3 linked regions of the Drosophila melanogaster genome follow. The protein of the gene in region 2 interacts with the protein of the main gene of each other region in a pairwise test. Each region holds a gene or a part of one and is shown on either strand. Other genes may lie near its edges. The genes, in order: rau, CG8301 and CG7824.

Region 1 (10,695 bases), on a different chromosome or scaffold from region 2:
ATTGCAGACGAATGCCTTACCTGTGACTGGAAAAGTAATATCCATTGTGGAAAGGTTGCTGATGGCTCATGTGTGTTTACTGCTCTGAATCGATGCCAAGTTGAAAGAATTTCATGCCGTCGAGAGCAAAAAAAGCTGAAACGTAAGTGGAATATATTAATGTAATTTCGCCTGCAGCAGTATAAATATTTATACACTTTCCCAGCATTCACCGAAATTGTTAAAGGAAAGTGCCCTAAGGACAAAGAAAAGTGCGCCAAGATGTAAAATAAAATCATGGTTCATTTCATCAATTAATATTTAATATTGTTTGAATCCAACAAATCTACTATATATGTTTTATAGTGCTCTCATTCTTGGGGCCGTCAGTTGTGCCACTTTTCGACCTTAGTTCTTCAAGCTCGGACTTTAGGTTTGTGTAACTATCAATGAGCCTGCGAACTCTTTGCCTCAGGTTGCTGCAATTCAGAGTTTGTTCCAACAATTGGGATTGCAATTTTAGGATAACCTCTTTCTGCAGAAAAATAATCCTTTTGAAGCGGTTCGTCCTTTCGTCATTTTTCATACAAAATTCTTTGGAGGTGATGTTTATATCCGATTTGCTATCCTGCAAGTGCATGCTTGCGGATTTTACTTCAACAGACAGATCGTTTAGTAATTTTATAACTTTTAAAATATAAATAGTTACCAGCGAGATTTTTAAACTTCGTTAAAATTGCATTGATGTCGTGCTTGTCTAAGCTGTTAACTAAATGGACATAAAACGTTGCTAAAGGAATGGTTAAATAGTGATTATTAATTTTTAGTTAAATATGTCTTATTTTACCACAAAGAATAAGTAAAATACATTTATAGTATGCATTCATTTCGATGTACTAGATCAAAATGCGACTAGTCGCTTTGGTTTGCTATTTGCAATGAATATTATTTCTAAATCTATTTCTTTACAGTAGTTAACTACTACACAGAAACAAGCAACTTAAATGTACTTTCATTTAAATTAGACAAGCCCTTGTAAGAGTAACGTTTTCCATCTTAGATTCACTCAATTGTGGAACCATAAAAACCTCGAAGAACAAGTCACTTAACAACGCGACCTATCGTTTTATGAGTAATAATTTGATTTGAAAAGTTATAGTTTTTCCCTTCACCTAAGCTTTCTACAACCTGATGCATTTACATATGAATGTGGCAAGGGATCTCGCCATATTGCCCACGCTCCTACTCTCCGTCAAAACAAATAACTTTTCCAATGATTGTATGGCTTTTACTGCTTTCCATATTCCGTGTGGAGTTGCGGAGTTTACTGAGCGCTGTGCGTTGCATTTCCAAGTTTATTAAAGAAACCTATACCCATAAGTTCTGGGCTCCAACGAAATATTTTCTTAGTAGAATTCATGGGCACTGACTTTCCCATGTAGTATAGACGGTTTTATGCCTCGATTGATTTGTAAATATTATGCGTTTCGAATGGAAATGTTTTTTTTGTGTAAATGAATCTTTCGATGGGCAAGGGGAATTCAGCAGTTTTTTTTAAATATATCTGCACATTAGTTGTAATCATATATAAGTTAAGTCTACTTTTCAAGTTTGAAATAGAATAAAAACTAGATTAATTGACAATTAATTAGGTATTATTTATATTTCACTCGGATTTTCAACTCCCTGCTTGTGTAAGCGACTCGAATGCGATAGAAATCGAAAGCTAATGTGCTATTTAAGGTGATTGTTAAAACCACATTAGTTAAACGTGAAAATACACCGCTGAATATTCGTTGCCTTTGGATGTTTGAAGCGCATTATTAAAAGCGTTCTTGGCCCACACCGAAAATTTCTGACTAAAAATACAAATATTTTATGTCCATAAACAGAAAATGTTTCGCATAATAAATCATCCAGCAATAATATATCATTTAAAATGTGAATCTGAATGCACAAAGCAAGCAACTAAAATGAAAATAAACAAGTCCACTTAAAGCGCGTTTGAACTAAAAGGTGTATGCAATATTTTACCTATAATATATATATAAAATTTAACGTTGGTAAAATAAACTTCTGTAACTTAATTATTATCATTATGAATTCAAGCCACTGCAAGTAATTCTCCGTTTAGCTGCTTCGCCCAGCAGAACTTGATATCGAAGTGGTTTCATCAAGAGGTCGGTAAATGAGTTATGAATCCTTGATATCCTTGACGCCTTTTCGCTTGACCTGGCGAAGGCGAGGCCACCTGGCTACGAAATGGCCAGGACATCGGCGGAAGTCCTCCCGCCCTTCCGTCCCTCGACCCGCACTCCAGGACTTGTCTCTGACCCAACTGCCGATGCCACCTGTTTGGGTCTGCAAGCTGTCGCCCCTCAGCTGCTGAAAGTTTGGTGTTTTATTCGGTTTCGGCTTTAATGAGGACCTCCGCTAAGCCGCTCGTGGCACTTGCCACTTGAGCAGACGCCGCAATCGGAAGTCCTTGTTTATGACATGGATACTGAAGCCAACGGCCAGCCAATATCAGCTGCTTTGCTAACCGAACTTGATTTATATCCACCAATTGAGACGATCTCGTTTGGGGTAAGTGATGTTTAGGCCTTAAACGGATAGCTCTTTACTCCGATGCCAACTAATTCGCTGTGCAATCATTTCGGTACAACCAAAGCGGCCTTAACAGGCTACCACCACTTAGTGGCAGGCCGTCTAAACAAATCATTTGAGCGCAAACTTCATCTCGGGTGCCTGCAACTTGATAGATGGCATGAATAGAGTAGCCCTCGCCTTGCGCTTCTCTGCCTCTTTTCGTTTTTTATTTATGGTTTACAGCTACTATTTATAGGAAATGTGCTCAGCACGCAAAAAGTCAGTCGGTGCTTTTTGCACCGAGGGGGAAGTCGGAATCGCAACCCACTTGACAGACTTCGCTGCCATCCGGAGCAGATGCTGATGCAGATGCAGATACAGTTGCAGATGCAGATACAGATACGGATACAAACCAACACAAGTGCAGCTCGAGGCGAGTGTGTTTGGGCGATCCGAGCTCCAACATTTTTGTTTACAATTGGAGCACGTCTGTTTTGGCTGCGGCAGCTGCTGACCATTAGCCATTAACTTGCAGCCGGCCGCGCTGAGTCCGCAATTGCAACTCCATGCGCGTACAGGCCGAATTACCAGGGCAGAACTCGAAAGATTTCTGTTTGTGTTTGGAAGATTGTTGCAAAACATTGTTTCATATTAAATATGATATGCTTTTGTTTTCAATTCCGTGGCATATAATTACAAGTTCGACGGCAAGGGCATCAAATATTTTACTTTAAGCTTTTTCGATGGGCCGTCATGAACAGTTTCGTAGGCTCTACTGTATTTGAGCTGAACAAACACTGTTACTTCTGTAACTGGAGCATACCTTCGCTGCGACTTCATCTTCATCTGGAGTCTGGTGGACTGGAGGAGAGCAGGGGACCTGCATCCGAGTCTGAGCTGCCCTCCCTCAAACTGGGCTGGTGTGTACTTTTCACACGGCTGTGTGAAAAGCGTGCTATGATACCATTTTCATGTCCGCACAGTGCTGCACAAATATTTAACCGTTGGTCAGAGGAATGCCACTTAGCTACAAGATGTAACTTTTTGTGCCCCGAGGACAAACTTTGATACCCTTCAGTCAGAACGGAGAATGTTCTAAGGAGCCAAGCAATTTGACTGGGCTTTATTAACACCTTCGAACAGATCTTTCGGCTTCAATGTGAATACAAAACCAGTATCAATTTGTTAAACGGCGACCTCTAATTAGGGCCTGATTCATGAATTCTTAATTGACCGCCCCGGGTCACATGCAAACATAACTTGCCGTGCTCCAACTAATTAAATTACTCTCAAAAAGCAAACAAATAAAATTGGTTCCGCATTTTTCGCTCAGATTTTCACAACTCTGCGAGTCCGTCGTCCATCAGCGACATCGACTCATCAAGTTCATCTATCAAAGTCTAATGAATTTTACTGGCGCATCAGTTGGTTGGTTTTTTCCTTCCTTTTCATTCGCAAATTATCGAGCAACAAAAAATCTGTTATTTATTTTTGTTTTTCGCTTCGCTGATGATAATTTCACTTTCATTAATAATTTTTGGACTTTTTGACTTTGTCATAATTAATTTTTAAACTTTTGCTTTTCTTTGTTGTTTCTGTGGGGTCTAAAAAACATCAAACCGAAGCAATCTACGACTTGCCGGAATGGAATATCTCGCCTGAATGTTGAACTTTCTTTCACCTTTTCAGTTTACATACTGCCAAAGTTCAGGGCTTATTTCCTGGATTTAGTTTCGCCAGACTTAAAGTTACAAAATCGATCCTGTTAATCGAATACTATAGAAGGAGTCTTAAGGTCTACCTATTAAAAATGCATCAGCTTCATATTGATTGTTGTGGAAACTGTTAAGGTAGTACAGTTTTTGAATTTTCTTGTTGTTTAGTAACTAAATAAACTACTAATGCCGTTCTAGCGTGAACACATATATACATACGATTACTAGCTAAAGTCTTCTGCTTTGAAAACTCCCTGATTTATTACAAGTCCGTAAACTCTAGCCGTGCCTCGCCCTTCAACTTTGGTCATTTATGTAGCTCTGCCCAAGCCCATCCGGCGTCGCTCGACCGCGAATCCCCATCCCCAGATTTCCATGAGGAAACCCACATGCCGGCAAAGTCTAAGTCTGATTGGAAACCAGTTTTCCTCTCTCCGAAAAGAGCGAGCCGCAGACAGAACTAGTTCGCCCGCTCACTCGCCCACGAAGCGCCAACCCACACCCCCAGTGGCTCCATTATGAACGATTTGCGTTTTCCCAAAATCCATTCACCTAACATTCATACTATTCACATGGTATCAGATCAGCTTGGCTCATTTCAAGTTGAATTAAAGTCCCCTGTAGAAGATAAGAAGAGAGAGAATTTTATAGTCAGCTTAAAAAAATTAAATATTAGTTATCAAATTATTAAATAACTTGCTAACTGCAAGTATCTGCGTTGCTTTCCGCTGATCAAGCTAGCTATAGTTTTTTTCTGAGTGCAGAGAGGCGAGAGCGCGAGAGCCAGCTCACACACACATACAAAACAGGTATCTGAATGCGACTCCTCTCAGCGGGTTAGACCTCGCAGACGCTAGCCGTGCGGCTTCAGTGCGTCTGTAAACACTGCCGAGTGCGGTACTCAATCTACATTAGCTCCGCTCGAAAATTTCCAATTCTTAGTGAACTGGCTAACGGTAGCGAGCCTATTCGAACGAAAGTGAATGTGCGTCCAGATCTAAAATAAAATTGGTACGAAAGCCAAAGGAATATACATATGTACAAAAAGTGAACAAATTCGGATAGAAACTCAAAGTGCAACGCTAAAATAAAAATCAGTGCAGCTGCTTCCTGAGTGCACCTGTTTCCCCAGCAGGGAGCACGTACGCATACGCACCTTTGGATACGCGAAGAAATGCGAAGTGGCGTAGAGTGCTTGATAACTTAATGCCAAGCAGCCAAAGGGCCCTAAAAGCGGCAGCCGAAGAAAAACGACGCGACCTTGTCTTGTCTTCGCACTCCGGACTTCTTATACCGCCATCCATCAAAGTCTCGGGCCTTAAGGTCTTGGGATTACACACAAATCACATTTGGATACTACAAATCATACGCTAGAAGGTAAGCGCCCGATCGCTGGTCCAGTTTTCGCTCTTCATCTAGAAAGTTTGATTGCTAGACGAGATCTAGTTCGGTCGATTGGGTTTCTTCTCGCCTTGGCGAAAGTCCAGAATTTTCACAGCCCACTCTCCTGCACTCAATTATCGAATTGCGCGATTAGATCCAGACAGTTTCGCTGGCCAGAGGAGTTGATTGAACCCGCAACGGTAACCAAGCTGTTGGCCAGTCACTTCCTCCATTCCCGAGGTCATCTAGGGGGATTACAATGCAAATACGGAATTGCTGAGCATCATTGTCCGGTTCTTGGCCTCCGACAAGTGTACATCCGTGGATCTGCAACTCGACAATTTGCTCAGCATTTTTTTGAATTTTTATGCAAATATTTCAAACTTCCATTAGAGGGCCACACAGGCGGACATAAGACCTTCCCAGCTATTTTGGAAATGCATAAACATTTCATGTAAATTTCTTGGTCGAGTGACTCTCTTAATTAGTCGAGTTGCTTTGTTGGCCGATTATGAATGACACAAACTTTGGGTCTCGACCAAACATTTGATTTGATGCATATCTTGTAGATTTCTGTGAGAAAATCCGTCTCTGTTGTTTCAAGCTCAGATGAATGATATCACTCAGTTCGGTAACAATGCTCATTGGGGATTTTCGATTAACAATGCCCCCCAATCGGATACACATGTGTATCATTTCATTTGTCTTTGCTGTGCTTATTGTCAAACTCCTTAATGTCAATTCCACATAATATCATCTAATGAGGAGTTGCAATAATAAGTTAGCATTGTCCACCAGACGGCGGTGTAACCATGATTACGAGTGGGGAAAATCCCGATGTCCAAAAGCGGTTGGTTTTGATTATAAAATTGCTAGCCTGAGGTGGTGGTTACCATCACTTTCTCGCAATTTTCAACGCAACCGCAGAAAAGTATTGATATCGAATTAATTTCCTGTCCTCTCGCACACAGGAGTATTCGGTCTGGAGCATTGTTTTCCTGTGGACACTGAGGGGCTAAAGATTTCACATACCAAGCACGTAGCCTCAGACCGTTTGGCCCAACTTGTTGTCTTTGTTAGGTTCTATTTGGCTAATTAAAAATCAGGAAATGCACGAGTACAATACGCCCCAGAGGGCTCAACGTGCTGCGATCCCATCCTGAATTTCAGAAGACTACGTGAGAGAGGGATTACCTTTTTGGGCCTACCTGCTCGTGTGCTACTGTCAAGTGCGGTTTCCTTCAGTTTAGCGCCTTCTGCTTCGATTTCGGAACAGGTAGTACCACCAAATCTGTGCTTAACAGAAGTATCTTGTATTGGGCTGGATACGTGAGCCATGAAAGGATATTCGCCTCATTTAGTCTTCACATTGCACACACGTAGTACTTGCGAGGGGCGTTTTAAAAGGAAGTAGTTCTATTGATTAATCGATGGCAGGAAGTCGAGGGTGGTCTGCATCAGGGATCGTTTATCTTTCGCTGGAGATCTTGGCACTAACATCTCAATTCGCTTTTATAGTTTTTAGCCATTTTCTATCATATTTGTATTTAAGAGCTCCATTCCAGTGAATGGTTGAACAAACCATTTTGTATAATTTCCTCGGTAATTTATGCGTGGCTTTATAGCTTGAGGAAGTTGCTTGACTTCCATATACAGTTATGTACATTCAAGTCTATTGTTTCTTCATCTAACCAAAGACACACCCGCACTGGCAATAAAAAGACAATAGCATTTGTCAATCGACATAAATGTGCGCTAACCGGATTTTTGCGTACATATATGTAAAAGTTCTACTCTAAATTATTCCGGCTATAAAATAAAACAATTTATTTTACTGCAATTTTCCTAAGCTATTTTATTTTATTTCACACCCGAAGTCGTACATTCTCTTGTTGATTCTTAAATTGATTTACAATTTATTCGAGCGTTGGCAACACAATTTGATGTTGGAGCTTAGCATTCCGAAATATTCAAAATTCAATTGAAATGAATGCTGGCCCGAATCGGGGGTTTTTTTCGGTTATATATTATGCACTGCAGCCTCGTTTAACGTTTCTCGCTAACTCGGCTAAATTACAGCGAAAATCGTACTGAGTCAGCGGCTTCAAAATGGTAAATTCAATAAACAAGTTCAGCAGCGAAATGAAAAAATAATATACGACTTCTTTAATATAAATGATGGCACAAAGTCAGCAAAAAACTGGAAGTTGGCGCTTTTACTCGTGGTTTTTCTCTCAGCCGCTCTCGGTTGATATTTTTTTTTGTTGACACTTCGTTTTGTTAACAATTAATTAACAAAAAACCAAGGTACACAAAGCCTGTTAACTGTTTGTTTGCGCACGGCAACCTGTGAGATATGGTGGCGTAAAACAATTATAACGCCTTATGGCATCTGGTTTTCTCTAGCACTACAATGTATAATTCGAAACGATTAGGCATTGGGGAATTTGTGTGTTAAGTGATTCCGTATTGATTTGGCTTTCAGCGAAACTATGTAGTATTAGTCATAAGAAGCAAATTTGCATTGTAAATGGGTTACTGCGAAAAGAGCTTAGAGATTAAGTTGTACTGATGATCAGTCTTCTTATGATAGGAACATCTTGTCTTGGGAAATACCTTTCACATTTTAGTAGATTGTCCTAGATTAATATCCCTTTATTACATTATATAAGCGCAGGTGTCTTCGCTGATCCCCATACTTTGCTTTACGAGCAGAAAAAGTTCATCTGGAACTTTCTTCTGTCCAATTGAGTTTCTTCACCTCGCTTTTATCACTTTTTCCAGCAGTTCAGATGATCCATTAGGGTCAAAAGCTGGGTAACCTTTCGCTATGAACCGAGCAAAACCTCGTAAAACTTTCATTAGGCCGTAAATCTAGCTGCGAAATGTATCTCACAGTGGCCATCTTATCGGCTGGGAAATCGTTCTCGCCACTGACTTTCCACCAACACGTGCCTCTGTAATCCGCCCACCTGAATTGGCGACCGATTCTCACGCCTAAAAAGAAAAGCAAACTTACCACTTCAGTTCGCATTTGTGGCTGTGGATGTTGGCCCAAACCGCAAGTGATTTTGTTGCTGTTGACTTTGCAGTGGCCGGATGGTTCTGCGCCTCCGATTCCCAGCAGCTATCCTGGGACAGGAATTTGCTGGCTCGGACTCGGGCTTAATGCACTGTGGGAATGCGGAATGTTGGGAGTCCCAACAGTTGATTGACTCACCACTGCTGTGGGGATTCATTAACTGACCCTGCAAATGCAGCTTTTACTCGCCTTTAAAACGCTCGTAACCCCTCGATTCCCAGCTGGTTTTGACTACCTGGTAATCAATATGCGTGTAGCACCCATTCGACGGGGGCAAAAAGAGCTAAAGGCCGGAAACTCGCTGGATTAAAGCAAGTGAGGATTATACAAAAAAACAAAAAAAAACTCTGTGCTGAGCCACTGCAAAAAAAGACCAAAAAGCTTGCCCACTTTGGAGCTCTATTTGAGCGTTATTAATATCCGCACATCAGTCAGCGGCACAGCGGCTAAATACAAACACTTGGCCCAAAAGAAATCCAGGGCCCAAAAACCAGAGCGCTCGTATATAAAAAAAAAAACAACTACATTCTTCACACAATTGCACTCTTTGCACATCTCCTTTATTCCCTTCCGCTGGCCATGATAAATTAACCAAGCTAAAGGCCGTTGTGCCGCTCCAGCTGGACACTTGGCCACTTGGCCACTGGACGGGTGACAAGTTGACGTCTTTGTTGGCACATCATGCGCTCCGCAGGGTCTGCTGCAGGAAGCTCCATCGGATTCCCTCCCAGGCGACTTAATTGTGCGTTTGCAAATTTGTGTGAGAATCGGATTGGGTAACACCGCTGAACCTTTTGTTTTTGCCCGCTCTCTCTCCTTTCGGCCCGATTTTTTGGCAGCTCACAGTTTTCATTGATTGGCAGCAGCGCCGTTTTGATTTGTGCTTCACTTGCGCACTGGCACTTTTGAGATATTAACTTGCTGATACAAAACGAAACCGTTTGGTGCCTTGAACCTCAGCTACTGCTCCACAATTGCAAGTGAATCATATGAGTGTATATATACTCATTGCGCTTATCTTGCATCGTCTGAACTCTGAAATAGGAACAAGGCCTGCTGCATTCGCTTTCCCCGTAAGATAAACCATATATCTCGGAGGGTTCTTAATATAGAGGGCTGCTTAATATTAAAGCAACTTAATCGACACTCTAATAAACAAAACGAGGGGAGCGAAGCGCAGAAGAAATATGGAAAATATTAATTGTCGGCGCTTAAGTGGAAGCCTTCTCCTCCTCCATCTCCTCCAGCTTTCATCATATTTATGGAATATGCAAGAAAGAGTGGCATCAAAAATAAGTATTCCAGCCCCCGGTTGAGCGATATTCTGGTCTTCCAGCTCATAACTTCATTAGGGCGAGGCATGGTTCTTCACGGAATTTCGGTTTCTTTTGTATCTTTTAAAGTGGGCGAGCTGCAGATGCATCTGTGGTGGTTTTTTAAGGCCAGCCGCATTTATTTAATGATTAGTTTGGGCCTGTTGTGACTGGGGGAAGGCATTCAAGTGTGGGACAGTAATTTGTGTATTATTTTTAGCTGATTTATCCGAAACAAATGCGCAATTTGTGTGGGGTTGTGTTTGAAATCCCACCGAAGACAATGCAACGACCTTGCCTTGGATCACAAACAACGATTTCCACTGCGAAAAGCGCTTTTGTCTAGAATGGAAATTGGAATGCAATTTGGAAAAGCGCGCTTTTTATCTAAATAAGCGGCACGAAAACATTTTGTCGGTAGAAATCCATGTTGGAATTATTTATTGACAACCGCAAAAACTGGTGTACAATACCTGGCAGGCTTCCAGGAAAAATTCAAATAAAAAAAAAATACCTCTGGCTTTTTGTAATTGTGTAAAACAGCCAAGGCGGAATAAAAAAAGAACCACGCGCTTTTGCTCTGAATTTATAATTTCCGCAGAGAGCTGAAAGCTTTATGATATTTTTTAGAGTT
Region 2 (13,468 bases):
AATCTCCAACGGCGACGGCCTGTCAGATCTGAGTTCAGAAGAGGAGTCCGATGTGGACAAGAATGGTAATGCGAAGGTCTTCCATCATCCCTTTCAGCTGAAGGAGCGCGAGCCAATTGTGATGCATATACGAAACTCAACGGCGCTGGTTCCAGCACCACCTCGACTGGACGAGCAAACAAAGGCCATAACCATGCAGTTCCCGGTGTCGTCGGGTCAGACCCATCGCAACAATGAGGTGTGGGTGCCGGTGGATCCTAAGGACTCGCTAGTGCCGTTGCCCTCCCTACCGCCAGCAAAACAGGCCACCAATATGTTTAAGGAAACGCCGAAGAACGTGTTCGCGAAGTCGATACCCTTGCAGGAGCAGCAGGAACCCGCCTTTAAGCCACTGGGAGGAGCAGTCGTAGTCCCGCCCTTAGCCGCCACTCAATTACCCACTGTTCCTCAATCCGTCCCGCCAACCGTTCCCAAAGAGTTTGCCCCTCCGGCTGTTCCCTTCGTTCCCGAGGTGCCCATCCCGTCAACGTCACCCGTAACACCGATGCAAAGTGCTTCCATTTTTCCCGATGTTACGCCGCCTTCCATGGACGTGTCCAGCATAATCACCCAGCGTCTTAGTGCCATTCGACGCCTGCAGGTGAGCTCTAGAACCATTTGTCATTTTAACGGTTGGCTTCATAATTTTGTTTATCTTAGGAGAATCCGGCCGACTCTGAGGCCCTAAAAATGATGTACACTGCGCAACGCAACATGTCATCGTGGGCCAACTCAAAGCATCTGCCCGGTCAGTTCACGGGAAGCACGGGTGCCCAAGTGATGAAGGCACATGAGCTGAACAGCGGTCCGCAGCTGTGGGTGCGCAAAGACCAAATGACCTCCACCAAACCGGTGACTGGGGGCATGGGCATGGCGCTCCTGCAAAAGATGGGCTGGAAACCGGGCGAGGGACTGGGCAGATGTAAAACTGGATCATTGCAACCACTTTTGCTGGACGTCAAATTGGACAAGCGTGGCCTGGTGTCGCGCGATGACTTAAGGCCACCGCAAATGCGTGCGCCGGCTGCCCAGCGAAGAAATAAAAACATGGCGGGACCAATTGGAGCTGGCCCCTGTCCAGCAGTTCAGGGTGCGGGACCTGGACCGTTGGCGTCCACGCCGCTGGTCACCCAGGATAAGCATCCCGTGTGTGTGCTCAACGAACTGACCTCGAAGAACAAGTGGATGCCGCCGCAGTATAAGCTACGTCAGGATATCGGGCCCGCTCACAACCGTTCCTTTCTCTTTTCGGTCGAGATTAACGGACAGACCTTTACGCCGGATCGAGGAAGCAACAACAAGAAGGAGGCGAAACTCAATGCGGCCGCCTTATGTCTGCGATCTTTAGGCATTCTTCCGCCCAGCTAGTGATCGAACGTTGAATAGGCTAATTTCTAGATAGTGAATATAATAGAATCCCCACACTGTACATAAAATTAGCCCTATATTTAAGTTGTAAAATCTTGTTCGTCTCCTTTGGAGCGATGACAAATATAGTGCTAACATCAAAAATGATTGTTAGTTTGACTAAAATTACTGATATTTGATGTACCCCTAACGTTATCATTTCTATTATTTATACACTACTTACTTTAATGCTGTCCTTAATATCAGTTATAAATTACCTGTTTACTTCTAGTTCCTTTTAGAAATGCAAGTTTCGTATTTGAAGTGTATTTCCTTCCCTTATTAAATTGAATATTTTAATTTAATTTTTGACACACACATTTTTCCAAGTGTAATGCCCGTTATTTGGGAGAGGAGCTTTAACGCGCGAGCTTTGCTCACTCGCCAAACGGGGCTTTTGCGCAAGTACACAAACAAAGTCAGCTGTTCCATCCGAGTGGGTTAAACAAGAGTGGGCCGTGTGGACAGAGACTGGCAGTGGTTGTGGTGGTGGGAGTGGAAGTGGAAGTGGGAGCATCGGCGCTGCAAGTTCCAAAAGATTGCTCCTCGACGAAGGTCAGTTCACGCGGAAGCTCGAACTTCGTCGGATGGCGAGCACGGACCATTGGATTGGCTAGCAGGCGCAGCAGAAGGGGCAACAAGGAGCGGAGCAGAGGTCGTCACCCGGATACAGACAAAACTTTTCCGAGTGCCCCAGTCCTCGTCGCCCAATTCCCCAACAGCAGCAGCTGCAGCATCATCATCACTCAGCATCCAAAAATGCCTCAAAAACGTGCACAATAATATTTGTTGTGAAAATATCCAATGCTAGCGTGTAAATGCTTTTGAGCCACTGCGTCTTGGCATTCGGTGGATGTGGCTGCGGATTTGGATGTGGTTATCGTATCGACGCACGCAATCACAGCCCGCGTAGCTCGTAAAGTTGCATAATTACCGCACATGAATGGCTGGCGAGTCGAATTTGGGCGTTGCAGTTGCAGTTGCATTGGCCACATATCGCCATCGTTGTCATCGCCATTGATGCACTGCCGCATTTTCGCTGGCCACTTTGTTTGCGGCCAACGTCATGGAAACGTGCCGCACCTGTGCGATTTCCATGTTCGTGTGCGATTTCGAAAATGGCAGCAATAACAGCCACTTCCTGGACCTCCATCATCCCAACTGCTGGCCCAGCGAAATGGCCCAGATTCGCCTCCAGTTCGCCAACTGGAATCTAAAGGTGAGTGAAGTGATTCGGGCTTAATGGGATGATTTCAGTTCGGAAAAACTACATATCCTAGTATTTATTGTCTCAAAAGATTCCCAATCTTTAAATTAATGTAACTTACCTTCCCAATTTCTATCTCTTTGCCCAGCTAGTTGCTTGGTATTTCTCTCACTGTAACAATTGCATCTTTTCGCAAGTGAAAGTTGTGTGTTAGCCATGTTTTCACAATCGAGCCACTTGGGGCTTAATTATGCATAGTATGGTTATTTTCCTGCCAACCACAAAGCTTTGGGGAAATTGTCAATCTAAAGTTTTCCGGAATCATCAATTTTTTAAAAACACTGTTCCTAGTACATGAATAACTTTCAATATTTATTTTCCATATTGACATTCAAAGACACATGCCTAGGATATAGTATAATATATCTTGACCATCGCTCGATCGATTTCATAGGCAATCCAATGAGTTTCCAGTAGATAATCACCTTCAGGAAAGGGTAGAATATTCGTAACTCTGTGGTTAACAAAGTCTATTGGAATCTTATCCACAATAAGATCGTGCTATAGTATAAAATACTATAAAATTAATTTTAATAATACACAAGAATATACTCACATTAAAGGGGCAGGAATGGTTAAGATTTGAGTAGGAATTAAAGAATTCGTAAAAGTATTTTGCTATTGGTTTCGAATCAGTGTTTTTTAAAAATCTACACGCATCCAATGTTATGTTGAACATGAAGGGTCTGTAGCCGTTAAATCGCTTGTATAGTATACCAGTGAACTAGAAATAATTATAGATAATTGTAAATGTGTGTAATTTGTTTAATTTGCACATACCTTGACCTTTGTAACTGGCGTTTTGAATAGGTTCACTTTTAGCGTTAAGTACTTATAGCTCCGATTTGCAGACCTTATGTAACAATATTCAAAATCATCGAAACTTTTGTCGAACGATGTGCACTGGAGGTTGGTGAACTCAAATTTCGAGGAGGCCTGTACGAAAAATCGATTAGTTTAATACAGTTGATGCAAATTCGAAGTAGCAACCCATTTAGCCATGAGAAGAATTACTAAAATGACTACTATGTGGCAGCGCGTATTCTTCAACATCGTGCAATAAATGTCACAGCATAAACTAAACTGTATTCGTTTAAAAAAATATATCGCTAAATAAGCATGCCCAAGAATTAAATCAAATTGTTTCATAATAATACTGCAATTATACTAGGTAGTTTGGCAACGCATAGCGATTCGATTAATGGGTTGGTTTCTATAATAAGACAGTCAATTTGTTCCATGATTTAAATATGCAGCTGACTAAAACCAGGGAATTCATTTCAGATATCTCCCAACGATGGACTGCCCCAGAAGATCTGCAGCGACTGCTTCACCAAGTTCTGCTCGATCAACGCATTCCGCTTGGCCTGCCAGGAGGCACAGCTGAAGCTGTCCCACATCTACGACAAGATCGATGCCAGCAGCCTGGAAGATGATGAGATTGGACAGGAGGACTTGGAGCCAGCGGAAGAGCATCAGGAAACGGAAACTACCAAACCAACAACGACGGTTTCAGCCGAAACACAACCAAACAACACTGCCAGTGATCCCATAGAGATTTTCGTGGATGCCGTAGACATCGACGAGGCGGAGGAGGAGGAGGAGGAGGAGGAGCAGCAGCAGCAGTATGATGAGGAGGTGGAGGAACCAATCACGGATGAGTCTGCTCCCCCACAACTGACCATTAGCTATGCCTGCAAGTTCTGTCTGCGCCCGCAGGAGAACTACCAGCTGCAGCAACTCTTGTTGGAGCACATCAACGCTAGCCACGATCCGGAGCAACCGTACAATTGTCCGGAGTGCGAGGCACGCTTTCAGGACGCCGCATCGCGCACAGTTCACCTGAAAAGCAGCCACGTGGAGAAGCAACATGCCTGCGGCGTGTGCGGCAAGAAGTACGGCGACAGGCACAATCTGCGCCACCACGTTGAGAAGTACCATTCGGAGACGGACTTTGAGTGCGCGCTATGCGAGAAGCGCTTCTACACCCGCAAGAGCCTCAACTATCACATGAAGTGGCACAATCCGGATCGCCAGTTCAAGTGTCGCCACAGCGGATGCGAGCGACTCTTCATCAGCCAGCGGCATCTCATGTGCCACGAGGCCACCCACTCGGGCACCAGTTCCAGGAAGAGCGAACACTGCGGCTTCTGCGGCAAGAGTAAGAATCACCAATTCAGCAAAAACTTGCGCTCTAAACTCAATGAGATTAATATTGCGCATACGCCATGTTGATCACTGTTAATTATACTATCCCTCCTATACAATCTATTAGTAAACATTATTAAGTTTAGATACACTTTTATCTACGCAGCATTCATCCATCTGAAGACCCTTCGCTGGCACATTTACCGGCAGCATGGCGGGGAGAAGCCCTACAAGTGTGCCAATTGCACGGAGGGTAAGTCAAGTTGGATCCTCTAATCCGGGGACACCTACATAGGATCTTCGGTACTTGGTATTGGAAGATTCGTCGATTTGAACAACTCACAAACATATGAGCATTAACCATCATATATCAATCTGTTGCATCATATATCAACATTCTCACATCCAACGAGCGCTTTAAGAACATAGAAACTGGGCCAAGATCGGCTGCTTCTGCCGCCTTATATAGTGTGTTAGTCAAGCCAAAAGCAACGGTAAAGATAATGGCTAACCCAGCTCTATTTTGTACACCTTTTTAGCCATCGCATGCGATTAACGAACGGCAAACGTTTTGTACTTTGATATCCACTTAGCCACCTAGCTAGCGTTTTAACCAATTAAACCAATCGAACCCAATCAACCAAATGCATAACCAACTCCATACACAGTAAGAATCCCTGGAGAGCAGCATGCCAGCAATCACATAGTTAATCGTCCTGAATCTAAGGAATTTCATCCATTACGTTACCACAGTTTTATTTTTCTTCACCAACTTTACTTCCTACCTTCAGGACGATACATTTTTCCGAGTTTTCTACTTCATGACACCCTCTACGACTAGCCATCCGTTATCTATGTGCCAATGGATGCTAAACCCATTTTTGTCCAATCCCAACAGTCTTTGCATCCTATGCGGAGAAAAGGATTCACATGCTGGAGCGGCACAGGGAGAACCTGACTGCCATCGAGCGGAGTGAGTGCATGCTGTGCCGCCAGCCCTTCTCCAGCGAACCGGATTTGATCCACCACATGTCCGCGGAGCACTTGCAGCGTCCTGGCGCTCCCATCATAGCGAACAACAAACGGGTGCTGCAACAGAAGCGGGAACGCCAGTACTCCGGACTCTTTCAGTGCGGCAGCTGCAGCCAGAGGTTCAACATGAAGTCCGCTCTGGAGCGGCACGCTGCCGTGCATTCCGAGAAGGATCGACCGCACGCCTGCCCGCACTGTTCCAAGCGGTTCAAGCGCGCCCAGGACATGAAGTGGCACATCAAGACCCACGAGAAGGAGAAGCCCAATGTGTGCGATGTTTGCGGCAAGGCATTCGCCCTCAAGTATGTGCTCACCCAGCATCGCTTGAGTCACGAGGGTAAGGATGTCCACATGTACATATGTATTATTAGAAACATGTAATACATCAATCTTTTACAGTCTTGGAGAAGAACTTCAAGTGCAACGTTTGCGGTCGAGCCTATCTGTTTGAGAAGTCATTGCGGCTGCATCAGCGAACTCACACGGGCAAAACCTACTACAAATGCGATCTCTGTCAGGAAAGATTTGTCACGCACATTAAGCTCAAGAGTATGTATGCGAAATCACTCAATGATGCCCTTCCATATAGATGAACATCACTTCCAGCTCACATGCAAAAGGCACACGCCGCCTCTCAGCCGCACTCGGCGGACCAGCCTCTGGACGATCTGATCAACATTGTGATTTCCTAACCAAGTGGAACAGCAAACAGCATAGATTTCTGTTGTAGCCAAGCACAGTGCAGAAACTGCAATGCATTGGAGCGTAGCTCCCGAAACTCAAGCTTACATAGACCATATACATACATGTACCCTCCATCCAATTACACTTACTAGACCATATGCACACACGCAGCGATCTCTGGAACGTGAAAGTGCTTAGAGCTTTATTTAGTGGATATTCCGTAGGGCATAAACCATATAGCTATATCTCTGTCCATTTCTTCGATCGGTCCCTAAGGCACTCCAGCCGCATATCTCTTTCTAACTCTGAGCCATATTAATCTCACAGAACGCCTTTAAACACTACCAGCACATACATACATATATCCATTTGACCACTTAGCGATAAGAAATAAGCAATGAGAACATACAAGATGTTATACGAGCAATCTAAGCTTCGCGGCGAACTTTTAATGCTCAAGAAATGCATTTATTTCCAGATGAAACCGATAAGTATTTACAATAATTACCGAAAATGTATAAGAATATTTAAAATATCAATATACTATGGATTTTATTATGTGTAGTTGCAGATATATTTACCAAATTCATGTTCCGAATAAACATTCATGTGACCAAAGTTTGAATTGCCGTTACTTTTTTAGTTGGGCGGCAGAAATCGATTGGTTTAGACAGCTTTTTGCAATGATTGCAGAACTAGCTTTAAAATAGCGTCAAAAAGCTAGTTCTACTTTAATGACTTGTGTAGTGCGATCTAAATAATTTACTTCATTTATTATGAAATTTCTTTTGATCAGTTGTAGCTAGACAACAGCCAAAAGCTGCCAGCACTGCCGTCGCCCACATCCGATAGTTGCGACTCGTGACTGCGTGAAGAACCAGTGACTTGTATCACCTGCGGCCAAAATTCGCCCATCCCTAGAGAACGTGAACACGTCAGTTTTTAGTTTATAATATTTATAAGCGAAAAGTTCAGTGCACAGCGGTCGCGATTCCGAACTAGAAGTGGCTGCAATGCCCATGGGGAGTACCATCTAAACTCCATAACACACAGACAGTCAAAACAATCAGCTGACCAAGTCAGAAATTACCGAATAATCATCGCAGACGGCGCCGCAAGTTTACCAAAAACGGACGCAAAATCCATAACAGCGAGCTGAAAATAAAGCCGCCAGTGAAAGTTGATGTGCAGGAGGGGAAGCGGTGCGACCGTAGAGATTAGAAGCTGCCACGCCAAGCAGATTCGACGTGCGTGTCGATTGGGAATCAACTCCAAATCACGCCCACACTGGTTTTTTGCGGGGGCATCTAAGTACACGTAGCCATCGTCATGGCCTTGCCATTGAGTGACCTGCTCATGATCGGCGGCGGCGAGAAGAAATTGGCTGCCTGCCTGGTGCTGCTCCTGCTGGAGCTCTTCCTGGAAGGTACGTACTTCAAATCCTTATCTTCGAAGGCATCTGAAATACACGTCATTGTTTCTCGCTCAGGCGCCGAGTCGACGGCCAGTCCAGCGGATATTGAGAACCATCTGGAGCTGGGCAAGGAGTTCCTCGCCCGCGGACAGCTGTCGGATGCACTGACGCACTACCATGCAGCTGTTGGTAAATATAACTGGCTTGTACACACGAAAGAATCGGAATATCTATGACAATACATTTATATTCTTTAATTCACGTGAATTTACATAACATCGCGTTCAAAAGTGTCCATTGGCAACGAATCTAAATATTTTATAAAGATTTTAATTATTTTTGATTAACAAATCATAGAATCGTATGGTTTAAAACATAACCATGTTTTGCAAATGCCAAGGTCAATAAACAAACTTGTATCTTTTGTCTTGAATTTGATGATAACATTAATTTGGTAAACTTTTGTTTAGGACTACATTCATTTGTGCTAGGATATTTTTTAGCCTTTCTATGCCCTCGTCATTGATTTAACCATTATCATTTTCACAGAGGGCGATGCCAACAACTATCTGACGCTTTTCAAGCGCGGCACCGTCTATTTGGCGCTGGGCAAGACGCGCTTTGCCGTCCAGGATTTCAGCAGGGTGCTGGAACTGAAGCCAGACTTTATGGCCGCCCGAATCCAGCGGGGTGTTGTGCACATGAAGAGCGGAGAGTACGAGCAAGCGATCCAGGACTTTGATCAAGTCCTTCAAGAGGAACCCAACAACGGCTTGGTGCTGGAGCACTATTCCCGCTTGGCACCCGCCCAGGAGCAGTGGGTCCTTGTACAGCAGCTGATCCAATACAGTGATCACCAAAACGCCATCCCCATGATCACACAGTTGCTAGAGATCTCGCCGTGGGCTGTGCCCTTCCGGCAGGCTCGCTCTGATGCCTACATTGCAATCAATGATCCACTGTTAGCCATTGCTGACTTGCGACAGGTGAACCGACTCACCCAGGACAGCACTGAGGGTCACTACAAGATTGCACAGCTGCTGTACACAATTGGCCACGCCACAAATGCCTTAAAAGAGATCCGCGAGTGCCTGAAGTTCGACCCGGAACACAAGCTCTGCTTCCCCTTCTACAAGAAACTACGAAAGGTGGAAAAGCAGCTGGTTAACGCAGAGCAAGCGCGTGAGGAGAAGCATTTTGCCGAGTGCATAGCCGCCGGAGAGGCAGTCCTGCGTAACGAGCCGGAGGAGACGATGATCCGGTATGAGGGACACAAGGTGCTCTGCACTTGCTACACGGGCGACGAGCAGTTTGGCAAGGCTTTGCAACAGTGCAAGGAGGCACTGGATATTATGAAGGATGCTCAGGTCTACTGTGATCGTGCTGACGCATTGCTGGGCACCGAAATGTACGACGATGCCATACACTCCTTCCAAGCAGCTCTCGACCTGGAAGAGAGCAACACCCGCGCTAAAGAAGGCATCCAGAGGGCAAAGAAGCTGCAGAAGCAGTCAGAGCGCAGGGATTACTATAAGATATTAGGCGTTAAGCGTAGCGCCAGCAAACAGGAGATTGTGAAGGCCTACAGGAAGGCGGCGCAAAAGTGGCATCCGGACAACTTCCGCGACGAGGAAAAGAAGGTGGCCGAGAAAAAGTTTATTGACATTGCCGCAGCCAAGGAGGTTCTCACGGATCCCGAGAAGCGTCGTCAATTCGACAACGGCGAGGATCCATTAGATCCTGAGAGCAATCAGCGTGGCGGCTTCCATGGCGAACATCCGTTTGGACACTTCCAACACGGGTCGCCGTTCCAGTTCAAGTTCCACTTCAATTAGTCAGCCAGCAGCCATTTGCTTTGTGATGTCCTAGCCGCGATCCCCGATATCCTTTAACGATTTTACACTGTTTTGTTCATTTAAATGGCGTGTAAATAGTAGCATAAAGCATAAATAAACCCATGGTCCGTTGTCAGAGAGTACCACAAACAAACACAAATCGCAACAAAACACACTGAGCACTTACATTTAATTAGTTTATTTAATACAATACAATAATTATAATGTAGTACATTTTTCTAATTATGTATAAAAAGAAACAATATGCGAGAACAAGCAATTAAAGACTTGGCAAATTGAGTTGAATATTTGTTAGTTTTGAACATGTTTGGAATTGAAGTAGTAGTCTTAAGGTGCAAAGTCGTCATAAATATTCCTTCGCTGTAGTCTGTGGTTGAAATGCGTGGAGTAACCAAAACCAAATGTATTCCGCGATATGAACGCTTCTCAGGCGTTGGGTGTCAATACCACGTACACCATGGTGGCCAGCATCACTGACACTACCAATATTAAGTAGAATTTGAGATTATATTTTTGATCCAATGACACCGCCAGTGCACGGAACTGCGCCATAGGCGAAACCTGATCGTGGTGTCTTACCAGAGGTTTTCTAGCCAGCGGCGAGAAGCGATTCTTTTGGAAATGGCTATTGATGGGTACTTCCTCGACTTCGGACTCGCTCTCCGTCTCCATGGGTTCGCCTGCGTCATTCGGCTGATCGTAGAATTCATTTAGTTGTGGATATAGAGTGTTTACTGCGGTGGTCGGCTGGAGCAGGCGACCACGGGCCAGATTGGATCCACTAACTGGAACACTCTGTCGCTGGCGAATGGGTGCTGGAGCTGGTGCTGGGCCACCAAAAGGCCTAGCGGATCCGCTGAAAGTGTTTCTTGGCGAAATGGGTGAAAGTTTTGGATTGTACGTAGATGACTCCTCGTAGCTGGTTGAGTTTAAGTTGGTTTGAGTCAGCAGGGGACGCGAAAAACCCAAATCTGTGGGTCTGTATGTCGAAGGTTCGATGCGTGGCTCGTATGTGGGAAGTGCGTGAAGAGTGGCGGCTGGCACATGGGGTCTTTCGTAGGTGTAGCTGCGTGGTATATCCTCCTGTTCGTACAGCGGCTGGTCAACTTCGCGTGTGTAAGATGTGGTCAAAACTCCGGATTTGGCTAGAGAAACATAACGTCTAGGCTGCTGGTCCTTGGAGTAATTAGGCACCGGAGAGTCCACCATGTAGGAGTCGTCGTCCTCCGACTGGGAGCTCATATCCGACACCGTGGTAGTAGTCTGCACAGATCTTCCCGAGATCGAGGTGTTGTCTAGTCCATAGGCGATTGTGCGACGACTTTGTTCGCTGATCTTGTTGTTGTTGCTGCTAGTGCGTCCTGCACTCTTGCCGGGCGTACGACGCACTGGCTCCGATGTGGGCGTCGTTACCTGGCTGCCGTGTACGGTCTCACGCCTCGGAATCGCTTTCTTACTTGCAGATTTGCTTTTGTTCAGCGGAACCCCGGTGATTTTGGCCTTTAGTCGGCGAATTATGACGCTGCGGGTGCTGTCCGTCACGGGAACACCGGGCAGGCCGTGCTCCAGGCACTTGGCCAGCAGCTCCTTGTTGCCCAACGTGTCCAGGTAAGAAAGGTCCGACATTATTTTCCGCCGTGGTGAAACTCAAAACACACAAAAATAGCAATGTCGTCACAATGTTGTCTATTAGTGATGGAACGGCAGCGATAGAATGTTCAATCTAAGTGCACGCCTATCGATTGCTGCTAAAGTAATGTTGTTTGACAAACTATAGCTAGATTTCATATGCTGGATGAGCTGTGCACGAAAGTAAAAACAATTTTTTAACATCAGACAGAAGAACAAACTACTTGAAGAAAAACTTAACTCGATATTTTATGTGCAATCGCCTCATGTGCAGTGTTATAAAATGCCTACAACTAAACATTTACAGCAGTGCTGCCAGACCTGGTTGGATACGCTTGCTATGGTTTATTTCAACTAACGCCCGACGGTCACACAGTTAGTTTTATGAAAATCGAACGCGCAACAGGTGTTCAATCGCAAACAAGACGCTCGAATTAAACGAATCGCCGCGCGGAAAGCGCTCGCCAAGCCAAAGAAAATCCCCAAGTCGCAGTGCGGAAAACTGAGGAGATATAGCATCGTAACATAAACAGTGGATTGTGGAAAAACAATCGTGAATCATTTGCACCTGTTTGGCGGCCAATATTTCTTCACCTTTTTGCTTTTCTGCGCCTGCGTGTGTGCCTCACTTCGCTTATTACACTTTTGTTTACCTCAATCGCGGGTGTTATTAAAGTTTTTGGCATCGATTTCGAGTAGCAAAGCAAGTGGCTGGAAACATTCGACAATTTGCTGGCTGCAATTGCAGCATATTTTCCATTTAGCCAAGCAAGAGCAAGGGAAACAAAAACAGCAACAACAGCAGCAGTAGAAGCAGCAGCATAAACATAAACCAAAAAACCGGTTAAAGCGGACAAGAGCGAGAAAGGCGCCCCAAAAAAGAGCAAGCGGGACAAAAACAAACACATAAAACGTGAAAAACAACAACGAATCAAAGTAGATATAAATACTAAACGAAAAAAAAAATATCCTCGTATTTGGGTTTTTGTTTTTTTGTTAAGCGCAAACAGAAAATAAGTGCGTTTGTTCTTTGTTTAAACGTGTTGACATCGTGTTTTCCCTGTAAAATTCCTTATCGGCCGATCGAATCGAAAGTGAACGAGTAATTGCCTTTCTGGTATTTGGTTTATTACATTTCGATATTGCTATTGCCCAAACTCAAACTCTGCGCGTGGCCTCCTTCTTATCGGCAGTCCAGTTCACCAGTCTACTCCACCAGAAGAACTACCTGTTGCCGCAACAATTAACACCAGGTGAGCAATAAAACCAACCCTTTTTACACTTCTGCAGCTTAGAATGCCCAATAGGACCGACCACCGGGTATTCTTTAAATATTGTTTACGTTGCACTTATAACGAATTCCAAGGAATGTACTCACAAAGAGCATTTGAACAATTGTATTCATGAAGATATATTTACTCATAATTAAGAATTCATCTAAAAAGAAGCATCGGGGGTTGCAAGGAAGAAATGGGGTTTCAAACTAAATGTTAATATCAGTGATTTAGGCACATACATATTTGGTGCTATTTTTGGAGTGGCTTGTACATGTGAATTTGCTGATTTCAAGTAGCTCCAAATGTTATTTATTGTTACCAATATAATTTGTGTTGGGCATTTCATTCTATTCAGTCGGTCATTGCCTATATTTGGTATTGCTTGATAGCCAAGTCACGTGAGAGGCCTTCCATCGATAAACCAAATCACAATTGTTAACAAAAGATTAGCCCCATGCCCATGACATTAGGCAACCCAAATTGGGGGAATTGGGGAATTCGCCACCGCAGTTCATTGACACAACCTTTGGCTGCTGTTTTCAGCTGTTTTTGCTGTTGAACCCGCTTAACTTTCACTGCAAACGCGGCTGGCCCAAAAGCGGCATAAATCAGCACGAAAACAACACACGCGACAAGAAAATGTTGTAAATGCCAAAATTGAAATGCAGTCGCAGGTTAATAAAATCAAATTTGTTGCCCGCTTTTGTTTTCTCGT
Region 3 (9,196 bases), about 20 Mb from region 2:
ATGGCCAGCTCAACAATCGCCTGTACGGCGGAGAGGTGCCCATCACCAACCCGCTGTTTCAAAGGTATGCATAGCTTACTTCCTAGTTTATAACTATAACTATAATTGGTAACACCCTCTATCCTGCAGATCCAATTCCGATCACAACCACCTGAGCAGCACCAATGAGAACGTGTCCTTCGGGAAGAGGGACTATGGCCAAATAGGGTTCTCATATCTAAACGATCTGGATAGGTCGGAGGTGGAAACAACTACGGAACTGTAGGGAATACACTAGGAATATTCTGGTTTCGATACATTTTACAGACTTGTTAATATACTTAGCTGCCAATTTGTAATTTTAATAGTGCATTTTAACAACGAGAGCGGTTGCCATCAATTTATGATCATAGCACGAGCAATCTGTAAATACCTGAGCGGAGATGCAGAATGGAGGAACTGATAACTAATATATTTAACCGTGCTTAAGATCAAATAATTACAGTCATTATATTTAAGCGAACGCAGAGTGCATACTTCCCACACACTTACGAAACTGCCAGACGCAGTCGTTTTCTTTAGGAATTGTTGAAAACATGTACATGCATTAATATAAACTGTTTAAGTTGTATAAACTATGGAAAGCCAATAAATGTAAATAAATAGATTTTTAACTTAAGAGTGCCTATTTATTAGGGGTTCCTTACACCCGAATGCACCAAAAACTACAATGGCTGAGTACAAAACCAACTGACATTTTCGTGTCGGAGATTTATATCTAGGTTTCTATGATTGCAACAGTAAACATTTAATCTACGAGGGCTTAAAAATTAGTTTAAGATCTGTTTGGGGCGTACTCCCTGGGCTTCACGTCGCCCTTGTTGTCTTCGCCATGTGCGGTGGTCACGTTGAGGGCTTGACTCGTATACAGCTTATCCGAGGGGTCCTCCTCCTCCTTTTTTATGGTGCTAATCAAGCTGGTGGACTGGGTCTCCTCCTCCTCGGTCTCCGATTCGCATTTCTGTGAAGTAAAGGGAATTGCAAGCATGAGAAGAAGAGATACTTTGGGCTTTTTTCTGGATTTGGGTTAGTATGGTGGGTTATTACGTTTACTACGCTATTAGACTAGTTCATGAGGGCATCGAACCAGGGCATGTGTTCTATGCCCTCGAGCAAGCGCAACACTTCGTTCACATTGCTCTCCGACTCGTCGATATCAAAGTTAAGTTCGTTATTGTCTTGCACGGATGGTTCTTCTAACTCAAAGTTGTCTGCGATGAGGTTATCTTGAGCCTGACTTTCAGCTGGACCAACTGAGTCGTTGGACCCGCCATCGCCCTCCTCCTCGAGGCCTAAGTCTACAGGATCGCTCTCCACACCGTCATCTTCAATGGCTAAGCCCAGGTCACTGTCCATGTCCAGGAACATGGAGTAATCATCGTCGAGGGAGTTTGCCAGATCGTCAACTCCGTCAAGGTCAAAATCGAATATACCATTGGCAAAATCCAAGAGGTCATCCCCCTCCGGCTGCGGCTCATTCCGTGGGTCTTCTCCGACAAAGTTATCGAGACCACGGCCTGCTGCGAAAATACTTTCTACCGGCGGAGTGCTGGGAACTTCATAAAACTGGGGGATGAGAGGTCGGCAATTTATTCAGGGTCGATCACAAAGGGCTTGCTTAGACAGTACTAGCACTTATATACATGTGTTTCGTGTTGTTTCTCTAGATATACTTAGCTTTACTACAAATCAAGCCTAAATACTAGTTACGCAGTATTGTTTGTTCGAACTGTCTTACAGTTGGCTTACTATAGTTTCAGCAGTCATGTGCAACACAACTTATGGCAATGGGTGAGTGGACAGTTGGAATATATAAGCAGTTACTTGTGGTGGTTATGGCGTGGGTTGGGTTAGTGTTTGATCAACGCACCTTTTGTATATACTGGCGCTTAGCCGGCGCCACGGTCAGGTGCAGTACGCAACTGGAGTCTTCGAGAATGCTAGCCACTGGCTCCTGGCAGACCACCCCACTCCGCTCCACGCCGCAGGCTCGGAACAGCACCTGGCGCTTATCCTCCAGAATGTGCTTGCGGCAGTGCTTGCAGCAGGGCAGCGTTCGCTCACCACACTTGACACCGCCTTCGGTGAAGACGCACTTCGGGTTGCTCGACGACTTGGCTGCGTACAAGGCGTCGCGAGCTCGCTTCTCCTTCAGTTTCTTGTAGAGCACCGCCTCGACGCCCTGGCGTCGATGATAGCTATTCAGCGCCTTTAGCTGCTCGTACAGCTTTCGCTCGTGTGGCGTGTCCTTTAGCTGATCGTGAATGCTGCCTGAAAGTGTGGCATAAGACACATTATCCTGCATACCTAAAGGCAAGTGAAACTTACAATATAGCTCTCGCTCGCGTCGTATATCGTGCAAATACTTGCGACGTCGCTGCCTCAGCACGTTCTGCAGATATGAAATCTGCTCGCGGTAAAGACCCTGAAGCTTGATCAGCTTCGTTTCGGCAATCTTTACTGCCTCTGCGCGTGTAAAGACGCCAGCGTGTCTACAAGGGAGAAGAAAAAATTAAAATTTCCTTAAAAAATAGTGCTACGAATAAATCAAATCTTACTTCAAAGGATCATCATCCTCCGAATCGATACTCTCATGGTCAGATTCGTAAAACTCAATGTCCTGGGCGGTGTTCCTGAGACAGGGCGGATCTGCATCGTTGCTGGAACTATCGGAAGCATAATCCAAAATGCGACGTCGCTTGCGAGAGCTCTCCACAACATGTCCTATGGAATTGCGGTGATCCTGAGTGACTAGAAGTGAGGAAAATTAGATTTCAGCTCGGTTTATAGTCAGCAAGACATACCAAATGGCGTCACGTGGGGTGAGACCACATCGATTTCATCATCATCGCGTTCGATCTTTTTCACCTCTGGCTTTATGTCCTCCACATTAATGTGCGATGAGAGGCTGTGCAGCAGGGTCTCGTTGGTCTCCACCCGGCTGCGAATGCGGCCCACATTCATGTGCGTCTTCTGCAGCTGCGTCTGCCGGTTGTGCTCGAAGCAGAGGGTCGTCAGGATCAGCTCCTTCTTGTTGTCATACTTGGCCACCGCGTTGATGCACTTCCTGCCGTTCGAGTAGACGTGCGAGCACTGTCGGAAGTTGGAGCGCGGGTCGCGCAGGATGTGTCGGATGCAATACTCGTAGCCCTCGATCCGCATCAGGCTGCACTCGTAGGTGGGATTGGCGCAGTACTTAATCTTGACCAGCTCGCTGTGGATCTGCTCCCGCAGCTGGTGCTCCTTGTCCGGAGTGCAGGGCGTGCCGGTGAAGCGGGCGCACTGCCGCAATTGGTTTGGCGAAAAGCTGGACATCGTCCTTTCAAGATTTTTGCCGCTTTTTAGAAATTGTTCTCTGATTTTTCAGACGAAGCGAAATGAAATAAAATGCTGTGGAAACAGTGTGACCACAGCAAAGTAGAGCATAAATACCCCACACGTTGTCACGCTTGCCAACCAGTCAGCATCGCCATGAACCAAAAGAGGGTATCCCACCTCCCATGTTGAGTTTCTATATTTAAAAATATCTTAAGATTAAGGTTAAATTTGATAAAAATGCTGTCTAAGTTGGCATCTAAAACCAATTGGAGATTTATTAGGTTATGAAATTCGTTTCTTTCTCTAACAATATTATTACTCTAATAAACATAGCTTAGAGCCTGAGGATTTATGGTTTAATGGGGAAAATGGCAAAATGGGTGGTAGTTGTCGAACTCCGATGGCAAATCGTCTGCTTCGCTTAAAATGAGCTGGATCTGGGCCATTCGTATGCCATAGCGCAACTTGTAGTCCACTGCATCCAGTTGCGGGATGCACCTCCGGTTGATAAGGAGCAGGAAACTCTGACTGATCTCCATGACTTCCTCCGCCCTGAGGATGGACCAGTCCGACATGTCCACATTTAGGTTCTGGGCTCTCAAGCAGATCATGATCCGGTTGTGGTCCGTTTGACCCGTGGGCAACCAGATGCGCGCCTGAGGCGCAAATGGTACATCGCTGACATGGACGAGCTTGATGCGCATGTCATGCCACGAGTTGCTAATCGCGGCAACACAGTCCGACAGGAATACCTTTGAAAATCCGTCTTCGCACCGGATCACTCGGTGGCCACGAACTACGTCTGAGCTATCGAAGGACGGGACGGGACCCCCCGGCATGGCCATGACTCTGTCAGTCACCATGTACGCCAGCTGGGCCTCGACCTCCTGCCACCTTTCGTTAAGCAGACGGCCGTCTTCGTGGAGCTCGTCCACCAGGGCCATCGTCAGGTTGTCACTCTTTGCCAAATTGGGCTTCGCAGCCATAGGAGGACTTGTATTCTTGGGTCCCTTTGCCTTCTTGTGGGCACTAGCCTCCTTGGAGCCCTTTGCCTTTTTGGGTTCAAGTTCACTAGCCTTCTTGAGTGCCGCTTTATTTTGCTTCTTACGCTTCCTTGCTTTTTTACCCGCACCCCTGGTAACCACCGATTTCGCTGCTCTTGCCTCTGTATTCCGTATTTTCTTGGCTCGAGCGCGTGCGCGCCTGGACATTTCCTTCTCCTCCTTTACTGCACGTTTTTGATTAGCGTCCTGTGGAGATAAGCGGGGCTTTTCTTCAGGGGGCTCGGATTTTACACTCCGGAGAGAGTCGCCACGATCTTGAAGGACCAAGTGTAGCAGTTAGCATCGAGAAGGCTGACAACACACGACTTACCATTGTCATCGATTACAATCACATCCTCGAACTTCTGAGCCCTTATATTTTCGTTATTGCAGAAAGAGTCCTTCCTTTTTGTCCAAATACTGGACATTTTGTCAATTATTGCGTCTTGGTTTCTCAGAGCTAAGCAATAAACAAAATGTGTTTACCATCGAAGCGCGAAAAAAGGCCTAAAAATAACTGTAGTTCCACGTGGTTGCAACCCATGATAGACAATCAGCGGTGGCGCAAACCAGGGCGGAATTTAAAAACAATCCAAATTCGTTCCTTCAATCGTTTATTTATTTCATAAACTGTATTGTCTTTGTACAAACAGGAAAAGCTCTTACTTACTTGATGAACAAAACGGGCCGCTTGACTTGAACTGGGTATTTCGCTGGCGTGAACAAGCTTAATGCATAGTCCATCCCATGCGTCGGCTAATTGCTCAATGCAATCCTCTAGGAAGATCTTAGAGAAGCCGTCCTAGCACCTGATCATCCGGTGTCCTCGAATAACAAATGAGGAGTCAAGCAACGGGTGAGGTCCTTGAGGCACCGCCGCCCGTCTATCCGCCACAATGCGAGCCAGCCTCGCCTCGATCTGACACCACTTTTCGAAGAGCAAGCAGCCGTCTGCGTGGCGCTCGTCTACCAGGGCCATTGTCGGGTTGTCCTGGATCAACTCCTTGTACTTCCAGGCCTAAATAGACAGATGCATCTGCATCTCCGTTTGTGATTCTTCCCATTTGAGTCCGATGGTCCGTTTCGCTTACGTTGCTGCTGATCGCTACTGATTGGTGCTCTGCGCTGAACACATCAAGAGCGTTCTACCCTACTCCTTGACACGTTTGAAGTATCACTTTCCCCCTCCGTTCCAAGCCCTAGGAAACTAAGAGGGGTCTCAACTTAATAATGTGGGTGCACCAGATACCCGGCTAACATACCCTTATAGGCCGGTTTTACGTTCCTGTTCTCCAAGGAACGGGGAGTTGAAGCAAGGCCTGGTTTTTACGTGAATATCTAGTCATGATTAAGGATCCGTATTTCCGTGCTTCTGCTGAATTAATCTTCGCAGAAGTAAACAAATCTCTGCCTGCTTTCTAGCGATAACTGACACAACCTACTTCGATATTGGAAGTTATCGAGGAGTGTGACCGCAACATAATTATTAATCTTGTAGTGCAAATATCCGGTATTTCCCACCGTTTAAGTACAGTGCTCACTATTGAATGTGCGTTTAGTTACAATGAGTAGAATCCTAGATTAAGCATATTAATAACACATAATTGAGCTACAGTTTGTTACTAACTCTAAGCGTAACGGTGAAGTTTATTTACGAGCTGAAATGATCGCTTTTAAGCCGGCACTTTTTACAAATAATATATAAATTAATAAAAGGACATAAGAATAACATGCAATGGCCAAATTACTTCTCTTTCAATTTCTATGCCCTTCCCTCGTGGAAATTAATCCCCCGCACAATAAATGCTCAGATCATAAAATCGTTTAAAGTATAATCATACCTAAGTGTAAATAATCATATTGCCCGCCTTATCCACCTACAAACACAAGCCGTTCCAATCGTCGATGGGCTAGTTGTCCACTACGTTCATGTCCAGGAGAAGCTTTTTGGTCTGCAGATCAATGAGCCGCCGCTTGGCCCTGGCCAACTCGGCCATCTCGTTGTAGTATATCGTTTCCGCCTTGAGCTTCTCGTCCAGCTGTGTGGTGGACTCCGCCAGCGAGGCGCTGTCCTGCGGAATCATGTTCTGCATCTCCGCCGGCTCCGGCTCATCGCACCTGTCCACCACCACGGAGTCCGAGTTGTCCACAACGTACTCGTAGAAGGGTTCCTGCAGCGAAATCGAAGTGACCTTAAATCAAAGATCGAAAGCATGTAGAGGCTAAATGTGGGTAGGGGAGCGGAAGTGGTCCGTGGACAAACCTCTTCTTCAAGGTGATCGGCCACCTTTTCGATGATGCTGTCCACATCGTCAAAGTTGACTTTCTCCAGGGGATCAGCCGCCTGCCTACGCTCCAGGCTGGCGTAGGAGTCCTTCTTGGGTGTCATGAGGTGCTGGTGCGAGTGATTCAGCGTCTTGGCCAGGCTGGTGTGACGACGCACAATGTGTCGCATCAGATTGGAGGACGAGTGCTTCGAGGAGAGCGTCTTGCCGCAGTGCATACATTTGGCCATGAATTCGGAGATGCGGATAAAGTGCGCCCACAGTTTATTGTTCTTCCCAATGACCTTGTTGCGCATCTCCTCCTGGCTGTGCCGCTCCATCTGCTCTTGTTCGAGCTTCGCGTTCATGATGCCGCGCACCGCCGACTTGGTCTCGCCCTCTCCGAGCTCCATGCTCAGGTCCTCGGAGGCGGAGGCTTCCAGCTCGTCCTTCAGCTCCGCCAGCATCTTACCCTCCTCGCCGGCAAAAATTGATCGGGCCAAGAGCTTGTGGTTCCGGATTAAGTGGCGCGTCAAGTTGGAGGATGTGTGTTTGGAGGACAATGTCTTCTCGCAGTGTTTGCACTGAACTATGTACTCGGTCAGTCGGTGGAAGTGCGCTAGAGCCTTGAAGTTTTTCCCAACCATAGCTGCTTCCGCAAATCCGGGAGTTGCAGTTTCGCCTGCTCCTGGCCAATTTGGTGGCAATTGTCGCGTTTATTTATCAAATTGCTTTTATTTTCGGTGCAAAATGAGGGTGTGACCGTGTGCGCGAAGCCACAAGCTAACATTTTACCGAGCTGTTACGAACGCAAGCTGGCCACACCTTATTCAACGGGTAATATATTTCGACAGCAGTAGTGGTATTCTCAAATGTTAAGTTTATAATTAAATAAGTGCTCCTGTTGTATTCCAAAATACATGTCCTGATATATATCTTAATTGTAAAGCAATATAATTAGATATTAGTAAATACAATCTACCACTATGGCTCATAAAAATAATTGGTTTCACATTGCTTCATACATTTTTAACTAAATTTCACTGATTCCAGGTGCTAAAAATTAATATTTGAATTAATGTAACAGCACCGAGTGTACTGTAGAGCGCGCGCTAACAGCGCAGAGTTGCCCAACCGCGGCAACTGTCAAAAAGATAACCCTACTTTTTTGACACGAGGTGCTGTGCGTGTCTTTTCCTTTCTTTCTCGCTTTTTACTCGAACATGGGTAAGTCGACTCTCGCAAATTGCGTCGAAATATCAAGAAAATGGGCTCAATACGGCCTGCAAACACCATGAAAGTGCGCACAAAGTACGTTTACAACAGCATCGAGAAAAAAGCAACGGGGAATGTGTGAATTTAAATAAATATCCGTGAATTTAACTTGGTGCGGCTCTTTTTAGTGCGCCCCCAAACGTGCCCATGTTCTTGGTTTTTTTTCGACTTTTCCGTGCGCCTTGTACTAACATGGACCTATTTCTCAATCACCAGGTATTAGCCGCGATAGTGCACACAAACGCCGGGCCACCGGAGGCAAGCGCAAGTCGCTCCGCAAGAAGCGCAAGTTCGAGTTGGGACGCCCCGCCGCCAACACCAAGGTAAGGATAATCTCCGGATAATCGCAATGGCGTGTATTCGAATGCCAGGGTCCAGTTTCTCATACTCCCATTAAGTTTTATTGGTCGGTGCCGAAATGTGTGCTTGAAAACCAAGCACATTTTCATTGTTTTTATCTTACCATCGTGACTTGGATAGTATACACATGGTTTTTATGTCGTACGATTGCGATTGTTTTCAATGATCGTTATACCATGTTTTATTTTAAGAGATTGTTTACATGCCTATCTAAGTTTAAGTTGGAATTCACCGACAAATCTGTGAAAAGTATGAGATAATTGGTCCTAATATACAAATGCAATGTTAAATGATGTTAACGCGTGTCAACTGCAATTGTGCTCTCGAGTACTCTTCTTGATGATTGAAAAGCTTTATGTTCGGACTACTGATAAATATATCGTTCCCTCCATAAGGTCTCCCGTCTGTATGCCCGGACTAACTCTTGAACTCATTTTTTCAGCTTGGCTCCGGCCGCGTGCACAAGGTGCGCACCCGTGGTGGAAACACCAAGCTCCGTGCTCTGCGCCTGGAAACCGGAAACTTCGCCTGGGCCTCCGAGGGAGTGGCGCGCAAGACCCGTATCGCCGATGTTGTGTACAACGCCTCCAACAACGAGCTGGTGCGAACCAAGACCTTGGTGAAGAACAGCATCGTGGTCATCGATGCCACGCCCTTCCGCCAGTGGTACGAGGCTCACTACGTGCTGCCCCTGGGACGCAAGCGTAACCCCAAGCACGCCCAGAAAGAGGACGAGAACGACGTGCTGACCAAGAAGCGCAGCGAAAAGGTTATGAAGAAGTACCTGGAGCGCCAGAAGTACGGCAAGGTCGAGCAGGCCCTCGAGGATCAGTTCACCTCCGGCCGCATCTTGGGTGTGTATTCTTTCTAATTCATGATTAATGATTTTTGTTATAG

Evidence for each region.
Region 1: the proteins of CG8301 (region 2) and rau interact in a two-hybrid assay, tested with the Drosophila melanogaster proteins (2 studies listed by BioGRID).
Region 3: the proteins of CG8301 (region 2) and CG7824 interact in a two-hybrid assay, tested with the Drosophila melanogaster proteins (2 studies listed by BioGRID).

The regions. Positions count from the first base shown.
Region 1 is NT_033779.5:5,873,953-5,884,647, reverse strand, and holds the start of rau (rau), read left to right. Parts: upstream 1-5,149; 5' UTR 5,150-5,660; intron 5,661-10,695. Other genes in the region: Sfp26Ac (seminal fluid protein 26Ac), read left to right, coding at 1-142, 206-267; CG44574 (uncharacterized protein), read right to left, coding at 329-633, 689-769, 827-866.
Region 2 is NT_033777.3:9,579,457-9,592,924, forward strand, and holds CG8301 (uncharacterized protein), read left to right. Parts: upstream 1-1,849; 5' UTR 1,850-2,512; coding exon 2,513-2,665; intron 2,666-3,058; coding exon of another isoform or gene 3,059-3,214; intron 3,215-3,269; coding exon of another isoform or gene 3,270-3,416; intron 3,417-3,508; coding exon of another isoform or gene 3,509-3,649; intron 3,650-3,703; coding exon of another isoform or gene 3,704-3,766; intron 3,767-3,997; coding exon 3,998-4,874; intron 4,875-5,027; coding exon 5,028-5,114; intron 5,115-5,759; coding exon 5,760-6,230; intron 6,231-6,292; coding exon 6,293-6,442; intron 6,443-6,499; coding exon 6,500-6,585; 3' UTR 6,586-7,192; downstream 7,193-13,468. Other genes in the region: Son RNA binding protein, read left to right, coding at 1-640, 700-1,407; CG33654 (uncharacterized protein), read right to left, coding at 3,059-3,214, 3,270-3,416, 3,509-3,649, 3,704-3,766; P58IPK, read left to right, coding at 7,907-8,003, 8,067-8,180, 8,541-9,826; bocks (bocksbeutel), read right to left, coding at 10,274-11,473.
Region 3 is NT_033777.3:29,854,044-29,863,239, forward strand, and holds CG7824 (uncharacterized protein), read right to left. Parts: upstream 4,894-9,196; 5' UTR 4,829-4,893; coding exon 4,732-4,828; intron 4,676-4,731; coding exon 3,714-4,675; 3' UTR 3,609-3,713; downstream 1-3,608. Other genes in the region: Cad99C (cadherin 99C), read left to right, coding at 1-64, 130-265; dgt1 (dim gamma-tubulin 1), read right to left, coding at 1,105-1,605, 1,910-2,310, 2,368-2,531, 2,598-2,790, 2,844-3,354; CG15514 (uncharacterized protein), read right to left, coding at 6,311-6,592, 6,664-7,311; RpS8 (ribosomal protein S8), read left to right, coding at 7,888-7,891, 8,156-8,262, 8,742-9,153.